Linked DNA regions of Callithrix jacchus. The protein of the gene in region 2 interacts with the protein of the main gene of each other region in a biochemical or structural test. Links are inferred from orthologs where the notes say so. Each region holds a gene or a part of one and is shown on either strand. Other genes may lie near its edges. The genes, in order: RNF14, UBE2D3 and TRIM33.

Region 1 (3,655 bases), on a different chromosome or scaffold from region 2:
GAGCAAGAAGAACCATGAGAACAAGAGAAACAGGAAGACTCCATAAGACAGAGAAATAGCTGCACATTTTAGTCACTGAAATGGAGGACTTTTTTCTGTTCTTTAATCTTTTAGTATTGCCGTAAGTTTCATGTAGGAGAAACAGATCTAGTTCTAAAAATAAACTATTTTTCTTCCATTAGGAGTCCTAGCCCTGTCAGTATCCTAGAATAATGGTTAGAAAAAGAATCATTTAAAAATACTATCCAAGTTTTAAAATTAATTTTCAGTTCTATCAAGAAGTCAACTCATCTGAAACAATCACTAACAGAATTCAGCCTCAGAGTCCTTGTTTAGATTTAGATTTACAAGCTGCTTTTAACTAAGCAATCTGGGCTTATATCAGATCCCAGTTAATGGAGAAAAGCTGACTGACATTGACCCTGGTCATAATCAGAAGCCCTCAGCATGATTTAGCAGCCATAGAGAAAGCTTACACTTCCTAAGATAAGCAACTGAAGTTAAATTATTTGGAGTTTTTCTCTTTAAAAGTGGTCTGTTCAATTTGAAAGGCAAATATAAGAGGATTCTCCATTAGAAATATAAAATATTTGTAATAGAGCACAGGAATTATAAGCAGCTTTTCTTTTTTAGGTAAACATCCAAAAGTAGGCCTTCCAGATGGCAAATATTGTAAATTTAAATGACAAATAAAAAGGGACAAGATTTCCTGTTTCTTACACTCCGCATAGTGCCACTGACTAAACCCTGCACAGGTACTACCTTACTTATTAATCAGTTAAGATTGAACAACTAATGGTTTTTCACATTGCATAAATATGCTTATAAATCAACCATGCTTTTGAGAAATCTGCTAAAAAATCTGTAAAATGTGATAAATACTAAAAGGGAGGCTCTGAGTGCTGTGTGAGCTACCAAGTCCCATGAAGAAGCCATTCTCCAACTTCTTTTCTTCTCCAGTCCCTTCTCAAGAGAGGCAGCTGGGGCTGTGCGAGGTGGCTCATGCCTATAATCCCAGCACTCTAGGAGGCTGAGGTGGGTGAATCAACTGAGGTCAGGGGTTTGAGACCCAGCTGGCCAACATGGTGAAACCCCGTTTATACTAAAAAATACAAAAAATTAGCCAGGCGTGGTGGCAGGCGCCTGTAATCCCAGCTACTCGGGAGGTGAGGAAGGAGTATCGGTTGAACCTGTTAGGTGGAGACTGCAGTAAGCTGAGATTGCACCACTGCACTCAAGCCTGAGTGACAGAGCAAGACTCCATCAGAGAGAGGGGAGAGTGAGGAGAGAAGGGGGGAGAGGAGGAGAGAGGGGGGGAGAGGAGGAGAGAGGGGGGGAGAGGAGGAGAGAGTGGGGGGAGAGGAGGAGAGAGGGGGAGAGAGGGGGAGAGAGGGGGAGAAAGGGGGAGAGAGGGGGAGAGAGGGGGAGAGAGGGGGAGAGAAGGGGAGAGAAGGGGAGAGAAGGGGAGAGGTGAGAGGGGGGAGGAGACAGATGCACCTGGGATGCATGTAAATTGAAGAGAGAGGGGAATTAAGGGAAAAGGAGCAAGAGACTATGTGAGTATACTGGGGGAGGAATAGGGGAAAATACTAGAAAACTAAAACCACTTCCCTCTGTCTACCCACCCCAATTCGGGGAATGGCACCTATAACGTTGTCAATTTCACTATTAACAGGTGAGAGTCATAATGACAAGGAATCAGGGTAGATCAACTAACAAGAATTGAACCAAGAAGGAATATAAGAGACCAATTAAAATGTCAATTATATGCATAAACAATTATTTGACAAAGAATTCTACTGTAAAAATTTTAGCTGTAACACATAAAACAACTCTCTTCCCCAGCACACACCCCCGCACCCAAATCCAGCATTAAGTGGATGCTGGTTAGCTGCAATCTGAAACTGCAACCACACATCCAGTTAATCTGTCCCTGTTTTGTGCATGTGTGTGTGCGGGTGCACACACATGCACGGATGTAAAGTATGAAAAGCTCACTGGTGAAATGGGACTATGAATATCTAAATAATTCGGCCAATTATCAGTGACCTAAATGCTAAACAGTCTTGATATTCCTGAACAGATCAACTGTCTTGCATCTGCTGCCTCTGGCACAGATATTAGAATGTAAAGTAATATTCCTTTTTATTCTAATGGTATTATCTTTTTTAAGGTTTAAACCATAAGCTCAAATTTACAAAAGTACTCTAACCTGAAAGATTAGCTTGGTAGATGGGGGAATGAAAACTGTATGATCCAAAGAGAAAAACTAATGAGCCCTTGAGGTCAGCAAATCTGACAGCTTTTTGTTTTGTTTTGCTTTGTTGTTTTGAGACAGGGTCTCTCTCTGTCACCTAGCCTGGAGTGCAGTGGCTCAATCTCGGCTCACTGCAACCTCTGCCACCCAGGCTCAAGTGTTCCTCCCACCTCAGCCTCCTGAGTAGCTGGGAGTACAGGGATGCACACCTGGCTGATTTTTGTATTTTTTTTTTGTAGAAACTGGGTTTCACCATGTTGCACAGGCTGAGCTTTCGTCTTAATACACATCAGTCTATCAATCTTCATTATGACTTCTAGAAAAGCAGCTGCTATTGATTCATTATCTATCCCAGAACACTTTATCTATATTTAGCTTCAAGTCATATTTATGTCTCAATCAAGAGTTGAGGCTGTTACTAGAAAAGTATATATAACCCAGAGGAAATGAGGTTCTTTACATAAGGCCTCAAGCCTTAATGAGATATCTACAGGAACTGTACACATTTCTACTTGTATACATTCATGTCTACGTGATACCAGTTGACTGTTACTTGTTATTAATATAGATTTTTACAAAGCAAAGCAGTTATTGTATTTACTCAGAAAATTTTCTTATTATAACTACATTAGCTCAATTTTTAGTCCTAATTAAAGTGAAATCTTTCATTTAAGGAATGGATAAGAACCTAAGAAAAAAAGTAGTATCAATATTTAAGAAAAATGAGGAAGATCTCATAGTCTACATTATAACACAGATTAAATAGGAAAACAGCAAGACAAGAAAAGAAATATACTTGATTAAAAATTACTCCTATTACAATTCATGATTGCTTTAATTACTGCCATTCCTTTTTAAAACACCAAGCATTTTTAATTTCTTAGCATCAGGATCCATCAAGGCAAGGGAAAAAAATTACAAAACCAAAGCCATTTGTTTTTCATGCACTGAATTCAAGATCATTAAGGTAGTCTTCAATTAAAGACAATTTTTAAGTTTCTAAAAATGGATAGGAAAAATTAAGTTTCAAGTCTAACCTGAGTTGGTGACAGCCATTTGCCACTAAGTGTGAATGAAGGTGGGGAAGAGGATGGATAATCTGGTGGCAGTTCAAAGTTCAGCACAAGTGGCGGCAGAAAGCAAATGGTGTATTCAAAGCCACTATTCTGGAGACACTCATTTGAATTGCCTGAACCAAAAACAAAGATTAGAAAGGATCAGTTGGTCAATACTTGAGTGTCCATTACTGTTGAGCAATGCTCAAGAAAGACTTAATGCTTTAGTAAGAGGGAATAAAAACCCTCCTCAAAGGACTTTCTATTTCCTAATTTTAACTTGGTAACCGCCACCTTAAAAAAATATTGCAACCCCTTGAAAAATCTAAGCACCATGAAATGT
Region 2 (3,655 bases):
TATTTAAAACATAGATTAATATGGCATCAGTTGCCTATCTTAGAAACTTTATTTTTATAGCTAGTCAGCAGTGAATTTGATGTCACAAACTCCATTTTTAGCTCTTCTTACTTACCAGGAGCTTGTCTTTGTCTTATTGAGATTGAGTTAAAAAGTAATATAAGTCTTTTGAGGATTGAGGTTTGTAATAGCATATTAAATACATTTATTTATCTAAACTCCTGAAACTGGATAACAGATGTTTTTGTTTCCTTGCAGTTCTTTTATCCATTTGTTCACTGCTATGTGATCCAAACCCAGATGACCCCCTAGTGCCAGAGATTGCACGGATCTATAAAACAGACAGAGATAAGTATGTTAAAAAGTTATTATTAAAATGGTTTTACTTAATGAGTTAGGCTTATACTCTGCTTGTGACAATGCCAAGACGACTTGATACTTAGTAAGATAATAGTTAAAATATGCAGAAAGCTAGCTATTGAAATGTGGTTATTTAAAACTTACTAGGCTTTAGCTAATGTGACAGTGAATGCCCCCCTCCAAAATGTTTTTTTGTTTTTCCTAGTGTGTTAAACAGTTTATCACTTTATTCTGAAATTTTGGAGAAGAAAGCAAATTTTTCTTAACCCCAAGCATGTTTTTCCAAAAAGTGTTAAGTGCTATTGTAAAAATTTGGTCTAAATTTTTCAAATATTTGAATTATGTTTATGTTCAGTTTAACCATTACAACTTTCATATGTTATAATTAATGCTAAGTATACTTGTTCAATTAGGTACAATAGGTTAGCAAGAGAGTGGACAGAGAAATACGCTATGTTGTAGGGTAAGAGGATCTGCACTCTATGGTGCGCTTATTCATGGTACTGCCAGCACTTGAGTGCTGCATGCATTAAGGCACTGTATTAACTAACAAAAGGTAACAGATGTGGCAGCCTTCTGAAAAGTGTACATTTAACTGCTTGATCTCTGTTTAACGTGAAAGTAAATACCTGGTAGCCATTACTGCTTGAAAGTATTGCATGGCAAAGCAGTTATATAGCACTAGTAAGAAATGGGAATTTATGTAGTATCTTTTTCTTTCAAACTACCATGGTGTTTAAGTTTTAGCTTGAGACTTTGTATCAATACTATATGGAATGTGGTGATTTACTTCAAATTTTGCCAGGAGATAGTAATGTAAGGGAAAAACACTTTTAAGCCTAAGCATCTAAACTAAATGTTCATTACTGACAAGCATGCATTAATGTCAGCTGTACTTTGCGGCTCCCTGTATGTTAGCTAGATAAAGCCTTTGTTTTAAAGTGCTGGCTTTGTGAGAGAGTATCCGTAGGAGATAACCATGATTGGTAGGGAGAACTTGTGTATGTTACAAGTATAGGGAAGTCGTTGGACCATATTTGGCTTTTGGTTTGAAATGAAGCTAGTTAATATTTGAACTGTAAATATAAAAGTTCTCCTGTGTCCTTTAATATGTATTCATTTCTTAAGGTTATCAGTATTTTGTTGGGGTAAGTAGTCTATGGCATTAGTATAATTCAAGGGGAAACTGATAGTATTTATCAATGTTAGTAGCCTTCCTGAGTAATAACCTTGTTTGTGTGTGAATTACCTGTTGATCTTTTTCAACAAAGATGTTCTGGTTGTACTCAATAGGTCTTGATGGGGCTTATTAGCCTCAGTTGCCACACTTATTAAAAGTAACATGTCATTCTGATGAACACAACCAGTCACACACCTCTTTTGAAAATGATTGCGGTTTATCTGCCCAATGTCATCTTCCCCTTCTGCCTCTGCCTAAGTCTCAAAGGCATTTTTTCTTGTAATATCCACGACCAAGTAATTTCCCAAACTCCAGGATTCAGATAAAATTGTTTTAGTAAAAGTCTGGTTCTGGCTTTGGAAATGTCTGTGGATAGATAGAATTTGTATACTACTTTAAACATTTTTTCATGTTAAAAATTAGAGTACTCGTTCAGTGGTAGTGGAGAGAAAGGGTCTTTTGACTTTTGTTAGCCTCCCAATTTGTAGTGCTGCTTTCTTAGGTTTATTAAAATACTGCTTTCAGAGCATCAGACTCTAATTTCCCACATTGCTTTGAGTACCAATACTATTTCTCCCATGTTGGCTTTTATTCTAATCATAGTCATTAGAGATGACTTCATAATAGGTCTGGAGATGAAAATCTTTCCCTTCCATTTAAAGTATTAGGAATTCTTTCACTTTATTTTAACTTTTAAAAATAACATCTTTATTTACAGGTACAACAGAATATCTCGGGAATGGACTCAGAAGTATGCCATGTGATGCTACCTTAAAGTCAGAATAACCTGCATTATAGCTGGAATAAACTTTAAATTACTGTTCCTTTTTTGATTTTCTTATCCGGCTGCTCCCCTATCAGACCTCATCTTTTTTAATTTTATTTTTTGTTTACCTCCCTCCATTCATTCACATGCTCATCTGAGAAGACTTAAGTTCTTCCAGCTTTGGACAATAACTGCTTTTAGAAACTGTAAAGTAGTTACAAGAGAACAGTTGCCCACGACTCAGAATTTTTTAAAAAATGGAGCATGTGTATTATGTGGCCAATATCTTCACTCTAACTTGGTTATGAGACTAAAACCATTCCTCACTGCTCTAACATGCTGAAGAAATCATCCTGAGGGGGAGGGAGATGGATGCTCAGTTGTCACATCAAAGGAAACAGCATTATTCTAGCAGCATCCATTCTTGTTTAAGCCTTCCACTGTTAGAGATTTGAGGTTACATGATATACTTTATGCTCATAACTGATGTGGCTGGAGAATTGGTATTGAATTTATAGCATCAGCAGAACAGAAAATGTGATGTATTTTATGCATGTCAATAAAGGAATGACCTGTTCTTGTTCTACAGAGAATGGAAATTGGAAGTCAAACACCCTTTGTATTCCAAAATAGGGTCTCAAACATTTTGTAATTTTCATTTAAATTGTTAGGAGGCTTGGAGCTATTAGTTAATCTGTCTTCCAGTACACTGTTTAATATAGCACTGAATAAATGATGCAAGTTGTCAATGGATGAGTGATCAACTAATAGCTCTGCTAGTAATTGATTTATTTTTCTTCAATAAAGTTGCATAAACCAATGAGTTAGCTGCCTGGATTAATCAGTATGGGAAACAATCTTTTGTAAATGCAAAGCTGTTTTTTGTATATACTGTTGGGATTTGCTTCATTGTTTGACATCAAATGATGATGTAAAGTTCAAAAGAGTGAATATTTTGCCATGTTCAGTTAAAGTGCACAGTCTGTTACAGGTTGACACATTGCTTGACCTGATTTATACAGAATTAATAAGCTATTTGGATAGTGTAGCTTTAATGTGCTGCACATGATACTGGCAGCCCTAGAGTTCATAGATGGACTTTTGGGACCCAGCAGTTTTGAAATGTGTTTATGGAGTTTAAGAAATTTATTTTCCAGGTGCAGCCCCTGTCTAACTGAAATTTCTCTTCACCTTGTACACTTGACAGCTGAAAAAAAAAACATAATATGGGAGTAATAATGGGTCAAAATTTACAAAATAAAGTACTGTTTCGGTGTGGGAGTTGTCATGAGGCTGTGTTGAAGTGACTTATCTATGTGGGATATTGAGTATCCATTGAAATGGATTTG
Region 3 (3,655 bases), on a different chromosome or scaffold from region 2:
TGCTTTTAGAACTCTGGAAGTTATCTTTTTCATTTGTTTTGGATATTTAAGAGAGATTTTAACTTCATTCTTATGCCACACCAGGAGGTGGCACTGGTGACACAAAATTTTTTTACCTATAGAGTTAAGATTACATAAGTTTATTTCTAAAGTTAGCTCCTTATGCTATAAATACTGTATTTGTAGATTAACCTAATAGGAAGAAACTATTTTTAACAGGCATGTGTTCGTAGAAAACAGACAGTAACTTAACATTAATTTCTATATGTGGAATATCCTTTTTAGCTAAGAGAACTAAGTTTTAGTTCCACTTTTGTTAGTGGCTTTTCCTCTGATTGATGATAGGCTAGCTAAATAATCATGGAGCTTATTCACTTATCCCATTTTTAAAGGAAGTATAGGTATTGTGTCTATTTGCATTAGAAACTTGGGGTTGATTTTTTTTCATATAGAATTCTTCAGTGAAGCTCTTGTTCTATTTCAGAATGTTACAAAAGAAAGACAGATGAAGTTACTACAGCAGCAGAATGACATCACAGGCCTTTCCCGGCAGGTGAAGCACGTTATGAACTTCACAAATTGGGCAATTGCAAGTGGCAGCAGCACAGCACTACTGTACAGCAAGCGACTGGTGAGACACATACTGCTTTTATTTTTCTTTAAAGGATTTTATTAAGATATTATTTATATGCAGTGAACTGCTCCTGTTTAAAGTACACATTTTAATTTGGGCAGATGTACCACCACCACATCAAAATACGGAAAACTTCCATCACCCCCCAAAGTTTCCTTGTTCCCCTAGGCAGCCACTAATCTGGTTTCTATCATTTTTTAGAATTTCATATAAGTGGAATTATCTAGTATGTACTTTTTAAAAGATACCTAGTATCTTAATGAAATTTATTACCTGAAATGGTAAAAATTCAAGCATGTACATTTGATTTGATTGCTAACTTAAATATTGACACTGCCTAATCTGAGGCTGACATTGTGAGAATATATGTGCTTTTTTTCTTAATGTCTTTATCTTATGTTTTCCCAATTGATATTTAATTTTGAGACTAATGTGGATATTTTTCCCTTTAAGATTACTTTTCAGTTGCGTCACATTTTGAAAGCGCGGTGTGATCCTGTCCCTGCTGCTAATGGAGCAATACGTTTCCATTGTGATCCCACCTTCTGGGCAAAGAATGTAGTCAATTTAGGTGAGAAATAATGGGTTTTATGAATATAACTTGGAACACCGAATTAGGAGAAGACATCTAAAGCGAATTTAGATAAAATTTTTAACTTTAAAATGTAAAACTACTTAGAAAGTCTGTTATTCATTGGAAACTCACTTTAGCTGTGGTTTTGTAAGGCTGTCATTACATCTTAAGAAAGTTGAGAGTCTACTCTGTATATTGTTTTTTAATGTGTACTGTTTTTAGACCCCGATCTTTTAAATTTATATTGACTGTTTTATATAGAAATCTTAGCAAATGGTTCATTGTCTGGAGAATTTCATAAATGTTTAAATGTTTAAGCCGTATTGTGCGTTAGCGGCGGACTTATGGGATGCTGATGTGTCCAATAGTTATGTCTTGAGGAATGTTTGAAAGATAACTGTAGCTCTTCACATGGAAGAGAAATGGATTTTGCTTTTATTACAGCATAGTAGAGAGCTAAAGACCATCGGTGAAAGTTACAGAGAGCTCAATTAAAACACATACACACAAGCTTCCTAGCAGTTACAGAGCTATCTGCAGATTGAGTAAACTCACTTTCAGAACAGTTAAGTCCTAAACAGTGGGAATTATAAAAGCAGAGGCTGGTTGGCCTCCTATTTACAAAAAAAAAAAAACCTAATCTTTTTATAAAAGAAAAAAATTATATTCAAATTTAGCTATAGCCTTAGTTCTGGCATCAGCCACCTGTTTTTGTGTGACATTGTAGCTAAGAATGGTTTTTACATTTTCAAGTGGTTGTAAAAACAAAAACCAAGGACTGTGAGACAGAGCTAATGTAGCCTGCCAAACATAAAATATTTACACTATGGCCCATTTACAGGGAAAGCATGTCCACCTGTCCCTTAAATCACATCTTCCTAAAATTTGGTTTCTATCCCTAGAAAGCAGTGGCTCTGTAAAAAGCAAGGAAAACCATCACTTCTAAGGATATAAATTGTTTAAAGCGTTCAGTATTTCCAGAGAAGATGATTTTGTGGCATTGTAATGCTCTGCCTTGCACATTTTGGCAATTCAAAGGCAGATGCAATCAGCATTAGCAATCTTGAGTATCCTTCAGTAAGTCTTGTCATGGGAGAATTGATTTAGATTGATTAGACAGGCCTCATCTGATACCTCTTATAATCTCTTAATTTTCTATACATCTGAGTAAAAAAGAGTAAGGACAGGAAATATATTTTTCTGAATAACCAAAAGTCATTTATTCAGCTTTGCAATGTATTAAGTTTCTGATCATCATTATCTTTAAATGGACTCCATTTCCTGCTGTACTGTTGGAGCTTTGAGGTGCTGATAGTTGTCAGAGAAGAGAGGAAAACATTGTGATTACTCAGCAAAATAGATGATTTAGTTGATTATATGCAAATTCTTCTCATGTTTTAAATTTTTCAGGTAATCTAGTAATAGAGAATAAACCAGCTCCTGGTTATACTCCTAATGTAGTAGTTGGGCAAGTTCCTCCAGGGACAAACCACATTAGTAAGACCCCTGGACAGATTAACTTAGCACAGCTTCGACTTCAGCACATGCAACAACAAGTGTATGCACAGAAACATCAGCAGTTGCAACAGATGAGGTTGCAGCAACCACCAGCACCTGTACCTACTACAACAACAACAACACAGCAGCATCCTAGACAAGCAGCCCCTCAGATGTTACAACAACAGGTAAGTATGCGTTGCTGCATTATTGATAGAAATTATAAAGCCCCCAGCACTATACTTTTTTCTATATTAGATAAGTTACACATTTCAAGGTTACTAGCAGGACTTTGAGCAGAGCTCAAACGTCAGTGTTTAAATATTTGCTCAGGTTATGATGGTGATGTAAGGGAGGTGTGAAGAAAGGAAGTAAGTAAATAACTTGTCTAGGGAAACAGTTAATTAACTAATACTCTGGAAGGATTAACTTCTCATCCTTTCACATCAGATCTTTTTTGTTTTCCACTTACAATTGTGTGGACCAAAGGACCAGATTGTTTCTGCCTAGGATCTGATGTGTTCCTTAGGCATTTGTTCAAATCATTCCTATCCCTGGGTATCTTTTGCTCTTTCCACTGCCTTCCCAATTAAAATATTACTCCAGGATGGGATAAGTTAATGTTGATACGCTTTAAACACACATACAGAGAAAAAGAGAGGGAGCGGGAAAGAGAGAGAAAAGGGAAATTGGGAGTGATACACAAACTAGTCATTACCAGTCCTCTGGGGATTAGCGATAAGAATTATTTATACTTCTTACTTTATACCCTTTTATCTTGACTCAGTTATTTTTATAATTGAAAGATAAATTTATTTTAAAATTATTACATAAATTGCAATTTCTACTTTTTGTAGCCTCCTCGATTGATCAGTGTGCAAACAATGCAAAGAGGCAACATGAACTGTGGAGCTTTTCAAGCCCATCAAATGAGACTGGCTCAGAATGCT

The links.
Region 1: the proteins of UBE2D3 (region 2) and RNF14 form a complex in vitro, tested with the Homo sapiens proteins (2 studies listed by BioGRID, with this or other methods). The link is inferred for Callithrix jacchus from reciprocal best matches to the Homo sapiens genes UBE2D3 and RNF14.
Region 3: the proteins of UBE2D3 (region 2) and TRIM33 form a complex in vitro, tested with the Homo sapiens proteins (2 studies listed by BioGRID). The link is inferred for Callithrix jacchus from reciprocal best matches to the Homo sapiens genes UBE2D3 and TRIM33.

The regions. Positions count from the first base shown.
Region 1 is NC_133503.1:40,423,000-40,426,654, reverse strand, and holds part of RNF14 (E3 ubiquitin-protein ligase RNF14), read right to left. Parts: intron 3,447-3,655; coding exon 3,295-3,446; intron 1-3,294. UniProt on the Homo sapiens protein: E3 ubiquitin-protein ligase that plays a key role in the RNF14-RNF25 translation quality control pathway, a pathway that takes place when a ribosome has stalled during translation, and which promotes ubiquitination and degradation of translation factors on stalled ribosomes.
Region 2 is NC_133504.1:94,547,454-94,551,108, forward strand, and holds part of UBE2D3 (ubiquitin-conjugating enzyme E2 D3), read left to right. Parts: intron 1-258; coding exon 259-352; intron 353-773; coding exon 774-822; 3' UTR 823-823; intron 824-2,258; coding exon of another isoform or gene 2,259-2,304; 3' UTR 2,305-3,655. UniProt on the Homo sapiens protein: Accepts ubiquitin from the E1 complex and catalyzes its covalent attachment to other proteins. In vitro catalyzes 'Lys-11'-, as well as 'Lys-48'-linked polyubiquitination.
Region 3 is NC_133508.1:152,390,128-152,393,782, reverse strand, and holds part of TRIM33 (E3 ubiquitin-protein ligase TRIM33), read left to right. Parts: intron 1-484; coding exon 485-631; intron 632-1,087; coding exon 1,088-1,205; intron 1,206-2,618; coding exon 2,619-2,893; intron 2,894-3,562; coding exon 3,563-3,655. UniProt on the Homo sapiens protein: Acts as an E3 ubiquitin-protein ligase. Promotes SMAD4 ubiquitination, nuclear exclusion and degradation via the ubiquitin proteasome pathway. According to PubMed:16751102, does not promote a decrease in the level of endogenous SMAD4.